4 linked regions of the Saccharomyces cerevisiae S288C genome follow. The main gene of each other region encodes a partner of the protein of the gene in region 2 in a complex. Each region holds a gene or a part of one and is shown on either strand. Other genes may lie near its edges.

The links.
Region 1: MRP17 (region 2) and RSM27 share a complex: the UniProt entries of both Saccharomyces cerevisiae proteins name them as parts of the mitochondrial small ribosomal subunit.
Region 3: MRP17 (region 2) and RSM28 share a complex: the UniProt entries of both Saccharomyces cerevisiae proteins name them as parts of the mitochondrial small ribosomal subunit.
Region 4: MRP17 (region 2) and RSM24 share a complex: the UniProt entries of both Saccharomyces cerevisiae proteins name them as parts of the mitochondrial small ribosomal subunit.

Annotation. Positions count from the first base shown.
Region 1 is NC_001139.9:920,370-923,021, reverse strand, and holds RSM27 (mitochondrial 37S ribosomal protein mS33 RSM27), read right to left. Parts: upstream 848-2,652; coding exon 515-847; downstream 1-514. Other genes in the region: GPI1 (phosphatidylinositol N-acetylglucosaminyltransferase), read left to right, coding at 1-389; 40S ribosomal protein uS2 RPS0A, read right to left, coding at 1,234-1,902, 2,358-2,447. UniProt on the Saccharomyces cerevisiae protein: Component of the mitochondrial ribosome (mitoribosome), a dedicated translation machinery responsible for the synthesis of mitochondrial genome-encoded proteins, including at least some of the essential transmembrane subunits of the mitochondrial respiratory chain.
Region 2 is NC_001143.9:436,597-439,404, forward strand, and holds MRP17 (mitochondrial 37S ribosomal protein bS6m MRP17), read right to left. Parts: upstream 897-2,808; coding exon 501-896; downstream 1-500. Other genes in the region: AUR1 (inositol phosphorylceramide synthase), read left to right, coding at 1-189; ESCRT-III subunit protein DID4, read left to right, coding at 1,182-1,241, 1,310-1,948; MET14 (adenylyl-sulfate kinase), read right to left, coding at 2,181-2,789. UniProt on the Saccharomyces cerevisiae protein: Component of the mitochondrial ribosome (mitoribosome), a dedicated translation machinery responsible for the synthesis of mitochondrial genome-encoded proteins, including at least some of the essential transmembrane subunits of the mitochondrial respiratory chain.
Region 3 is NC_001136.10:1,435,176-1,438,524, reverse strand, and holds RSM28 (mitochondrial 37S ribosomal protein mS46 RSM28), read right to left. Parts: upstream 1,596-3,349; coding exon 510-1,595; downstream 1-509. Other genes in the region: CORVET complex subunit VPS3, read left to right, coding at 1-410; MZM1 (Mzm1p), read right to left, coding at 1,937-2,308; IZH1 (PAQR-type receptor), read right to left, coding at 2,651-3,349. UniProt on the Saccharomyces cerevisiae protein: Component of the mitochondrial ribosome (mitoribosome), a dedicated translation machinery responsible for the synthesis of mitochondrial genome-encoded proteins, including at least some of the essential transmembrane subunits of the mitochondrial respiratory chain.
Region 4 is NC_001136.10:812,680-815,687, forward strand, and holds RSM24 (mitochondrial 37S ribosomal protein mS35 RSM24), read right to left. Parts: upstream 1,474-3,008; coding exon 514-1,473; downstream 1-513. Other genes in the region: HMO1 (Hmo1p), read left to right, coding at 1-171; histone acetyltransferase NGG1, read left to right, coding at 1,773-3,008. UniProt on the Saccharomyces cerevisiae protein: Component of the mitochondrial ribosome (mitoribosome), a dedicated translation machinery responsible for the synthesis of mitochondrial genome-encoded proteins, including at least some of the essential transmembrane subunits of the mitochondrial respiratory chain.

The sequences.
Region 1 (2,652 bases), on a different chromosome or scaffold from region 2:
TGCTAACAATAACTATCGAAATATTCTCGGAAGCTGTCATTGCACTCATTAACCATTTTCCATTGTTCGCATTATTACTTAGGTTAAAAGATCCTAAACGTCTACCCGGTGGCATTTCAATTGAGCTCAAAACCACGGTTTCTAACAAGCATACAACCTTAGAACTTCAAAACAATCCTATTAAATTCAAGAGTATGTTCAGACCATACAATCTATTGTTGTCGCAAATGAGGACAAATTATTTCTCGTTTGCTACTGTACGAAAGATTGTCCGAGGGGAGTCTATAATGGTCAATAGAAATAAGCTGTACTATGTTCTTTATTCTTCACTGCCTAGTAAGCCATTGAGTGTAAAGGATTTATACAAAAGGCTGACTATTCAGGCATAACGTTTTCTTTTATAAGTAAAGTAGCGTTTTCTTGCTTCAGCTATTTGTTGTTTTATTTTTGATTTTGTATGTACATGAAATGAGTTTCTACATAATGAATATTTTTTTTAGTAAGGGTGCTCCAATCATTTTTTTTTCTTCCCCTTCCCCTTTGCAGTTGCAGCTGCATCCTTCTTCATCTTCTTAGGAGCACCTTTACCACGACGTTTCTTTGCTTCTACCATAGATAATCGATATTGCTCCTCAAGGTCTACAAATTCAATATCAGGATATAATGTTTTCAAATGTCTGAACTTCAGGATATCCGGATTGCCGTAGTAGCTTGCCACAGAAGGGCCCTTTAATCGCTCATTTAGAATCTTAGAACCGGTTCTTATACCTGATGGGTTGAAATTTTGATCAAATATCTTCGCAGATAACTCTGCTACTTTTAGGAGTCTCGCCTTTGGTACGTTCATTGAAAGTCTTATGATAAACTAATCCACGCAATCACTACGTACCACTTCGTCGAGCGGGTCAAAACAAGTACCTATTCTCCATGGCTATGTGCTCTAAAATGGTTTAGAAGTTCGCTTATTATATTTCTAACTGTTTTAGATCACTATATACGCTACGTGTTGATAAGACTTCATTTGCACATTTTTACTACAATAGCTAACTACTCTCAATTGATTAAACTTCTCAGCAAATAAAGTACATGGCTAAATGTGTGACAAGATGACACAATGAATGTATTTCTTTTTTCTTGATTTTTATTTAGCCGCTAAATTGATAAAGAAATCTGTTATTCTAATAAAACATTATACTATAATTATTAATATACTATTTGTAAATATCACCTTACTTACCACTCGACGTTGTCAGCATTTTCTTCAGCCCATTCAGTAGCTTCAGCTTGCTCTTCGGTAACCTCTTCCTTGGCTTCTTCTTCACCAGCTTCTTCGGTGGTAGCTTCTTCAGCAACTTGTTGTTCAACTTCTTCAGGGTCTCTGTAGAAGTACAAATCTGGCATGATGGACCATGGTTGAGTTCTGTCAACTAAAGCACCTCTTAGTCTCAAAACTTCTCTAGCCAATAAGTACCAGATTAAACCAATGGAGTGCTTACCTCTGTTGTTACATGGGATAGCGACATCGACGAATTCTGATGGAGAGTCAAGATCAGTTAGAGCAATGACAGGGATGTTAACGTAAGAAGCTTCCTTGATGGCTTGAGCATCTGATCTTGGGTCGGTGACAATAACTAATCTTGGTTCCTTGAAAGAACGGGTGATATAATTGGTGAAAGAACCTGGAGTGAATCTACCGGCGATTGGGGTAGCACCGGTGTGGGCAGCGAACTTCAAAACAGCCCTTTGACCGAAAGTTCTGGAAGAGATGGCAACAACGTCTTCTGGGTTTGGAATGGCAGCGATGATTCTGGCAGCCAAAACCAATTTTTCCCAGGTCTTACCAACGTTGATAACGTGGACACCATCTGGTCTTGCGTTGAAAACATATGGTTCTTGGTGAACCTGAAACAAAATTAAAGAAGAAAAAGTTAGTATAAAAGATTCAAAAACGTACACTTGGTATATGCTGTGAATGATCAACTGATTCAAATTAATGTACTATGAAAAAATGGCATTTATAGTTGGCTAACAGCGTCGGAAGAATAGGTACCGGAATTAATTGATTTCATTGAAAGAGGTTTAATACCAAAGGTTTGTTTTTTTTTTTCATTAGCGATTTAAAATTTAATAACATAATACAATTAGAAAGTCTATTGGCAAAATATTCGCTGATAATTAGCTGGAGTTTCAAACTGTTTTAATGATTGTTCATATATTTCTCTTCTTATTCAGCCTGAAAAATGCTATCCCAGCATTCCGTTTGGTTGGCGGGAAACCTGGTTGTGGCTATTCTTTCACTCGAACTGTTTTCAATCACACATTACTCTATTATATAATCGGGAATGAGTATAACATACTTGAACGTTTCTAGCACCTAAGTGAGTGTTAGCAGCCAACAAAAGTTGGGCATCTTCTGGAGTCAAGTCAAAAGTAGCTGGTAAGGACATTTCGCTCTCTATTTAGTTTGCTATTTTCTAAGCTATACCTCACTCTACAAGGGCAGTTTACGAAGTAAACTAACAATGCTACATTTCGATATATTATAAGCATCCTTGCTACGGGATCTGGCAAGTGTCCTGCCCTGCTACTATCTGCCCGGCAGCAGGCCACTGTACTACTCACAATTGGGAACACGACGGGATTCTGGTATCC
Region 2 (2,808 bases):
TCAAAGAGTGATCCATTGGCTGCAGATTCAAACGATATCGAAAGTGTCCCTTTGTCCAACTTGGAACTTGACTTTGATCTTAATATGACTGATGAACCCAGTGTAAGCCCTTCGTTATTTGATGGATCTACTTCTGTTTCTCGTTCGTCCGCCACGTCTATAACGTCACTAGGTGTAAAGAGGGCTTAATGAGTATTTTATCTGCAATTACGGATACGGTTGGTCTTATGTAGATACATATAAATATATATCTTTTTCTTTCTTTTTCTTAGTCAGGATTGTCGTTTAGCATAATATACATGTAGTTTATTTAATCACATACCACTGATTATCTTTAGAATTTTATAAATTTTTGAAATAAATGGGTGGCTTTTAATGGTGTCTATGTTAAGTGAGGCTTTTAGAATGCTCTTCCTGCTTTGTTTATTATATGTGTATGAAAGATATGTATGTATTTACATGTGTTTGTAGCGTCCCCAGTCAAAACCTGTGCGCTATACCTAAATGGATTGATAATCTTCATTCACTAATTCTAAAATAGACTTCTTCCCCAAAGAACGGTGTAACGATGAGGCTCTATCCAGCTGCTTATCTAAATCAACTTTAACGATGGATGATCTTATGACACGGGGATCTTTCTTTAAAGTTCTTAGAATTTCAGACTGTACCGCAGCTGATGAATCAAACAGCATTAAAAAGTGATATGCTCGAAAATGTTTTTCCTGGTCTTTCTTCATTATTTTAGGAAGATACCTTATGCCCATGGGTACAATGTCCCTCACCACACCTCTGTTTTGAATAATCAGTTTCCCGATTGTGGAAGACAATTCTTTTGCTTCCAACTTTGGCGCATTGGAGTTGGTTATGCGAACAAGTCCGATCAGCTCATAAAGCATCTTAGTGAAAAGGGTGGTTTTGCGTTATTCTTTCCTCTGTTGAAGCTTTTCTATTTTGTTTAAGCTGAACTAGTGGGAGTTTCCATTAAAAGGCTAAAGTCTTGTTGAAACTTTTCCGGGTTAGATGATAACTGCGAAAAGATAGATAAAATCAGCATTAAAGGGACTTCGTCTCCTCCTAATCAGAAATCATCCTTTCGAATTATGCGTATTCAGTTGAAGCGTATTTGTGACCAGTGTACTTCAAGGCTGATTGTTTCACCCTTGGACACAGAACGTTAAACAATGAGTTTGTTTGAGTGGGTATTTGGAAAGAATGTCACTCCGCAAGAGAGGTTAAAAAAAGTATGTTGTTCTGTATTTGGATCAGTTATTTTAGTGAACATACTAACGTTAATTATTTGAGTTTTTAGAATCAAAGGGCTTTAGAAAGGACTCAGAGGGAGCTTGAAAGAGAAAAGAGAAAATTGGAACTACAAGATAAAAAACTTGTATCAGAAATTAAAAAATCGGCAAAGAATGGGCAAGTTGCAGCTGCGAAAGTTCAAGCAAAAGATTTAGTAAGAACCCGGAATTACATCCAAAAATTTGACAACATGAAAGCTCAACTTCAGGCGATATCATTGAGAATACAGGCCGTTCGAAGTAGTGACCAAATGACACGTTCTATGAGCGAGGCCACTGGTCTTTTGGCTGGAATGAACAGAACAATGAATCTACCTCAGTTGCAAAGGATATCGATGGAGTTTGAAAAGCAGAGTGATTTGATGGGTCAACGACAGGAATTCATGGACGAAGCTATTGATAACGTCATGGGTGATGAGGTGGATGAAGACGAAGAAGCTGACGAAATTGTAAATAAAGTTCTTGATGAGATTGGAGTGGATTTGAATTCACAGTTGCAAAGCACGCCTCAAAATCTGGTTTCTAATGCGCCGATCGCAGAAACAGCGATGGGGATTCCTGAACCTATTGGCGCCGGATCAGAATTTCACGGTAATCCTGACGATGACTTGCAAGCTCGGTTGAACACTTTGAAGAAGCAGACTTGAGCGCTCTGAGTATATTTAATGAATAATAGGTCTATACTATAATACATCAACTACTGATATCAAAGTAGGCACTTAGAATCAAAAGGCTTCCGAAAATTTGTTCAGTTTTTCACTTTACTCAATCTCGTCACTAAAGTTTTCTTTTTTTTTCGAATGAATCCTCGAATAAATATGTTCTATATTATATATATACATCTTTTATATATCATTAAATGTACAGTAATCGGTCAAATTACAAATGCTTACGGATGATTTTTTCACTGATTAAGTACTCATAAATAATGGTAGCACATTCTTCAACCGTCTTCTGGTCGGTTCTCAAATGTAGCTCTGGAGCTTTTGGCGCTTCATATGGGGCAGAAATACCTGTAAACTCCTTGATTACACCCTCCCTAGCTTTCTTGTATAAACCCTTAGGGTCCCTTTGCTCAGCGACTTCTAATGGAACATCAACAAATATTTCAATGAACTTCAAACCAGCCTCCTTATGTAGTTCACGAGCTCTATCTCTGTCAACTCTGTATGGAGAGATAAATGAGGTGATTGAAATAGCACATGAATCAGCAAATAGCTTAGAAACTTCGCTAATTCTACGAATGTTTTCATTTCTGTCCTTTTCTGAGAAACCCAAATCCTTGTTCAATCCAAAACGAATGTTGTCACCATCCAATCTATATGCAGACAAGTTTTTTTGGAGCAGTAACTGTTCTAGCGCACAGGCGATTGTACTTTTACCTGACGCACTTAGACCTGTTAACCAAATAGTACAACCGTCCTGTTTTCTCAATGCCTTGCGTTCGTCGTAAGTAAGATTTGGATGCCAAGTAATATTAGTAGCCATTGGTGTACAGTGTGCTTGG
Region 3 (3,349 bases), on a different chromosome or scaffold from region 2:
CCTTGTTATTTTTCCCCAATGAATTAACAAACTGGGTTTCTTCCGAAGAATTGCTGAAAATATATTTGTCATTTAATGATTTCAGAAGTGTAGAAAAATACATAGGCAAGCAGAACTTGGTTGCGGTGATGAAACAATACTTGGACATATCTTCTTTGAATTACTCAGTTGAATTAGTGACTAATTTGCTACAGAGAAATTTTGAACTTTTAGATGATACAGATATTCAATTAAAGATCCTCGAAACTATACCTTCCGTATTTCCCGTACAAACAATATCCGAATTGCTTTTAAAGGTACTTATTAAGTATCAAGAAAAGAAGGAGGAATCTAATTTGCGGAAATGTTTGTTGAAAAATCAAATATCCATTTCTGACGAACTAAGCCGGAATTTTGATAGTCAAGGATAAGAAGAGCCCACCTATTCTTTTTCTGTTCAGGCATACAATTCAAATTTTATACGTACTAGATATTTACAGGTATGTAAGAATGAAATAACGATGTTTGATTTACTGTTGTAATTCAGAAATTGGTTTCATTCCAGAACAAACATCATATACCAATTTCTTTTCCTCGGAGCCCATAACAACAGATTGTAATGATAACCTCACAACTTGACTATTTTGTACGAGCTTACTCACAGTATCTTTAGATTTCGTCAGTTTTTCAAAATCTTTTTTCACATATGGTTTTAAGAGTTGATATTCTCCTGTTACTTGCCTATGAAAATCTTCTGGGTCTTCTTCAATAAGTAAATTCTGCAATTGAGGCTCTTTGGCAAAAATCAAGGAGGATCCTGGTGTATATTTACCAAAGTTTGGCGTGTTTAGGGTGAAATCATGTACTTTGAGGATTCCCAAATTTGGCGATCTGTAAATGGGGTAATTGGATTTTTTCAAGCTATCTAAGGTAAAGTTGACTAATCTGGATTCCTTTGTTGGAAAAACTTGAGGAGTATATTCTAACAAAGATAAAGGAGTGGGCTCTTCTAGTACATATTCTGAACTGACAGGTCTCTTGATAACCTTCTGTAGCTGCTGTTGAGGAGCCTTTCTCCTTTTAGATGCTGTTAAGATATGACTCTTTTTTTGAAACCTTGCTTTAGATTTGGGGGTTCCATTGAAATTAACAGGTTTTTGCTCCATCGACGAATTGAAGACATCAAGTAAATCATCTTCGACTCTCGCATCTCCTTTCAAATTATTTTTGCCATTCTGCATCTTTTTGAACTGTGGCTGCATAACTACTGTATTTCCAGTAGGATTCTTTACAAAAGACGTATTAGCACCTTTATTCCACTGCTGCTTGTTAGCACGAACAGAATCACTAGAACGGTTTTTCAGTCTCATGTTTCTTTCTCCTTGATTTCCCTCTCTACCCCTGCTTTCTTTATTGTTCATACTATTCCTATTCTGATTCCCGTTTCTCCTCTTATTTTGCATTCTACCCTCCTTCATCTTGTCCAATTTGAGAGCATTGGAGGAAGCTTTTGCTGTTGCCTCTTGAGCCCTTGCTAGAATGCTATTTATGAAATCTTCTGTGACACTTGTGCTGTAATGAGCGCGACTCACACATCTAAACATGGAGGAGCGCATTTTCTACTCCGTCTATTTCTCTTATTATGGCTCGTCCAACTAGATTATTTAATGAGTTACCGCTGCCCTTTTCCTCTTTTATGCTTTCTCCAGTTTCGTTAAGTTTAATTCCGCTATAAAGCTTTGTTCATTTCCGTCAAAAGGGATAAAGCACTAGCAACTACGCTGTTTCAGTAGCACATCAAATACAACAAGCTGTATACATGTACATACTACAAACAGAACAAATGCAACGATATATCGTGCTAAATCAGTTTATATGCCACCTAGCAAAGTTGCTAGGTACTAAAAAAGTATTTACATGTATATAGCTTCGAAGATAAAACAAAATCAAGGCATTATCATTGCTTTTTATCAGAGCATTTAAATGGTCTTGCCTTTAAGTTTGTTTTCACTCTTGCCGTAGGGTCTGCAATCGTCTCATTGTCACCCAATTCGGTGTCTTTGTGAATGTTCAAATGGTACCTAGGCTCCTTAGTACTTGAGCCATCAACCTTTTTGCCCTGAACCAGGTTTCGTCTCAAAAAAACAGCCACATCCTCTAAATGTTGAATCTGATCCTCTGTGGTGAGTTTAGGATCTGGGGGACATAACATTCCTGAACGCATTTTAGCTCTCGCGGCTAGTAATACTTCAGCATCATTCCGGAAAGCTATTCGGGTTGCTCTTAAGCCATGCCTGTATGCATTCAGGGCCTTTGTTCTCGTGCTCATAGTGTGTTAAATTTATATAATTTGTTCTTTTTATTCTCTTCAGTGAAACGCAAGCGTACCGAAAAATATAAGGAAGTCTTTTAGTCCTATCCTTTTCTCTTCCTCTCTTTCCTTTGTAGTAGGTTCACTTATTCAAACGTTTAATTTTTCGGCATTACTCACTTTAGTAAGACCAAAATTAATTAGGCTAATATAGCGAAGTACCTGTCAAAATGCGATCTATGATAAAAGCATGATGTGACGAATATCTAAAAAGGAATAAAGACTTTTTTTGCATTTAATTATTTTCTAACCTTAGATATATAATGTTATTTATTTGATTTTGTAGTAGTTGTAGGCCCATCAAGGGTGGATATGAGAATGCATTAATTTGTAAGAATCGATAATGGCTTTCAAGTGGCATACAGAACCAAGAACCACCATAATATGAAATATTTGATGAGAGCTACCGAAGAAATCGAACTTCCCTGGAGCCAAAGTTTCAGGAATCCTAAACCCGTAGATTACAGCCCCTGAAATGTAAAAGAGAGCTTCCCAAAACACAAAGCTGACTTTTATTCTGTTAAGAACCCCTTGGATACCGAACTTGAAAAACCCTGTGGTCAATGGGAGTAAGCCACTAAATCCAAACAATATGAAAAACATGGCCCTAAATGGACGAAATGTGGAAGTGTTAAACTTGTCGTGGAGGACACAGACTGTACAAAATGTTGCCAGGACTAAAGTAACAATCGTGAAAAGACTGAAGTAGGATATGTGGTCGAAGTAACCAAAGTATATTATAGGGATCATAGAACAGGAAATCAAACTGATAATCCCCAAGTAGTCGAGCTTGCTCCAGAAATTGCTTTGCTTTTCAGAGTGTTGCTTCATGCAGTGGAAACAGCTACTGCACATGAGACATGAGAAAGCGCCCATCAAGAAAATGTTTATAACGGTGTAATCGGACCAGGAAGTGGAGGGGAAAACGGGAATTAGAAAGTAGTTGGTCAACGTAATGGCAAACACGAAGTATACGATAGCCGGTACCAAATGTGTATA
Region 4 (3,008 bases), on a different chromosome or scaffold from region 2:
TCCTTGGAAAACGGTCCAACTCATGCGCCGGTTCCAATTCCTTTCAGTTTACAGCACGCCGCTGAACCTCCTGTGGAAAAGAGACCTCACGATGATGATGGATCTTCGGAAAAGAAGAAGAAGAAGAAGAAGAAGGATAAGAAGAAGGACAAATCCAACTCTTCTATTTGATGGACGGACAAACTCGTTACTATTACTCTACTGTCTTTCTAAAATAAATATAATAATAAAAAAAGGAATAAAATATAGCAGCATGGGCTTGCTTTGCCCATAGTGTATGCACATATATATATATATATATGTATCTATCCCTCTCCTCTTGTAACAGTATATCTTCCTTTTCATTTTCGTTGTGTATATGTATGTATATAGTTCTAAATTTGCGATTATACCTTTTCAAACCTCTCAATGTTGTATTGTGCTAAAACTATGTACATTTTAGAGAAAAAGAAGGAAGCAAAACAAATACATAATATATACAGGGGGGCCGTTCTTTTTGTTTTTGAACATGTATTAAAGAGTGCTCAATAATTGATCTACAATATCAAATTTCTTCTTTGGTGCATCTTCAGGGCGTTTCCAGTGTTCAGGAAACTCATAATCCCGCTTCTTTTTACGTAAACTCTTAGCTATAGTATGCCTTGTGTCAAGGGGAACATCGCTAAAATCGTCCTCCGTCAAATCTTTTGACTCCGCTAACAGCCTTTGAAGAATATCATGCAAATAACGTGCATTTTGTGATGCATGCTCAAATTTGTCACTAGACATTTTAAAAATATCTGTAGTATGATCATAACGCGACCTGGCTAATATTCTGAACTTATGTAATGATTTTTCCTCCAGGCCCAATTCCTTGGTTTTAACGCTTAATACAACCTTCCTCGAATTGGGATGCTCTTCGCCAACATAACTAGTGTATCTATAAGTGACCGGATGACTTTCTGGAGATGGTCTCTTGTATTCCTGGCGATATTGAGCTAATAGCGGTAACTCATATGCGGCTAATCGATTATAGAACCTTTGTTCACGATGTTGGGCAACCAATTCCTGAGCTTGCGATGGCAATTCATCAAACATAAACGGTCTAAGACTGTTATCGCGATTCACGTTTCCACCTTTTATATCAATAGCGCCTTGTTCTCCTCTGTGATATAGCTTTTTAATATCGTTAACAGGTACATTTGAGTACTCAGAAGTGGTTAATAAGGCATTCAGTTCGTCTTTGTTAGGTTTATACTCTGAACCCAATCTAGCCATTCTCTCCCAATATAACTCTAAAATTCTTTGAGGAGGTAAACCCTTCCATTTTTCGGGATGCATATAGAGATCTGCTGAAAAAGCTGGTCCTTCTCTCACAGTTTTAGCTTCATTACCAGCATCACTGTTCAAACATCTAGACATTGTCAAAACCCTTTTCTGGGTGCTCCACAAATTACCCCGAGAGACTTTCCATAACCCCAATGGTACTTTCATCTTCCTAAGAATAGTATTTTAGTAGTGTCAAATGTTTCGGTAACTCTACTGCCTTGTTCACAGATCGAAATATACTCAGAATCAGTTACAGAAAAGGTCCCATTTAGCGTAATTTCTTAGCGGAACTCATTAAAGAGCTCCGACGTGCAACGCGATAAAGGTTCGCCGACGACAACAAAACAATGGCAGGCAGTCATTAAATGAACGCCATCAAATGAAATATTCGTGGTAGCGATTACAATAAGGAAGTTGGAAAAACATAACAAAGACGGAGCGACGAGAAGTATTGGACAGGACATATGCCTAGACATGGAAGAAGAGGAAAACTGCCAAAAGGCGAGAAACTTCCTAAAAAGGAGGGAGGCGACAATACTCCGTCAAAGCTTTTATCGTCAATGCTTAAAACTTTAGATTTGACCTTCGAGCGTGATATTGGAATGCTCAATGGCAAAAGTGTTAGGTCCATACCCAATAAAAAAACTTTACTTGAATTGCAAAGTCAATTGGATAGTCTCAATGAAATACTGGGTACAATTGCCCGAGGTGATCAAGAGACCATTGAAGCGCTTCGGAAAATAAGAGACAGTAAAAATGAGAAGCAAGCAAACGATGAAAAGCAGGAAACTTCAAATGCAGACGGGCAGCACGAAAGTTCTACTGCTACTGAAGAAACGAATATAATTGATAAAGGGGTACAAAGCCCACCAAAACCTCCTCCTTCTAATGAAATCTCCGGCACAATTGAGAACGATGTAGAAAGCATCAAACAAGCGGCTGATAATATGGCTAAAGAAGAAATTAATGAAGACAAAGATTTACAAGTTCATAGAGATCAACCCAGAGAAAAGAGGCCGTTCGATTCTGAAACTGAAAATAGGGCCACTGAAAATGAAAACACACAGAGGCCAGACAATAAGAAGCAAAAAATTGACGTTGACAAAATGGAAAACGATCCAACTGTTAAAAATCCAAAATCAGAATTTGTAGTATCGCAAACGTTACCTCGAGCAGCAGCAGCACTCGGCTTATTCAATGAAGAGGGACTAGAAAGTACAGGAGAAGACTTCCTAAAAAAAAAATACAATGTAGCTAGTTATCCAACAAATGATTTGAAAGATCTGTTACCAGGTGAATTACCGGATATGGACTTTTCGCATCCTAAACCAACCAACCAAATTCAATTCAATACCTTTCTAGCATTTGTGGAAAATTTTTTCAAAGATCTTAGTGATGACAACTTAAAGTTTTTGAAGATGAAATATATTATACCCGATAGCTTGCAATTTGACAAAACTTATGACCCTGAGGTAAACCCGTTTATTATACCGAAACTAGGCCCTTTATACACAGATGTTTGGTTCAAAGATGAAAACGACAAAAATTCTGCCTATAAAAAACCTTCACCATATTCAAACGATGCATCTACTATACTACCAAAAAAAAGTGCCAACGAACTTGATGATAATGCTTTGGAATCGGGCAGTATATCGTGTGGGCCCTTATTATCTAGGCTGTTGAGTGCTGTATTAAAAGAT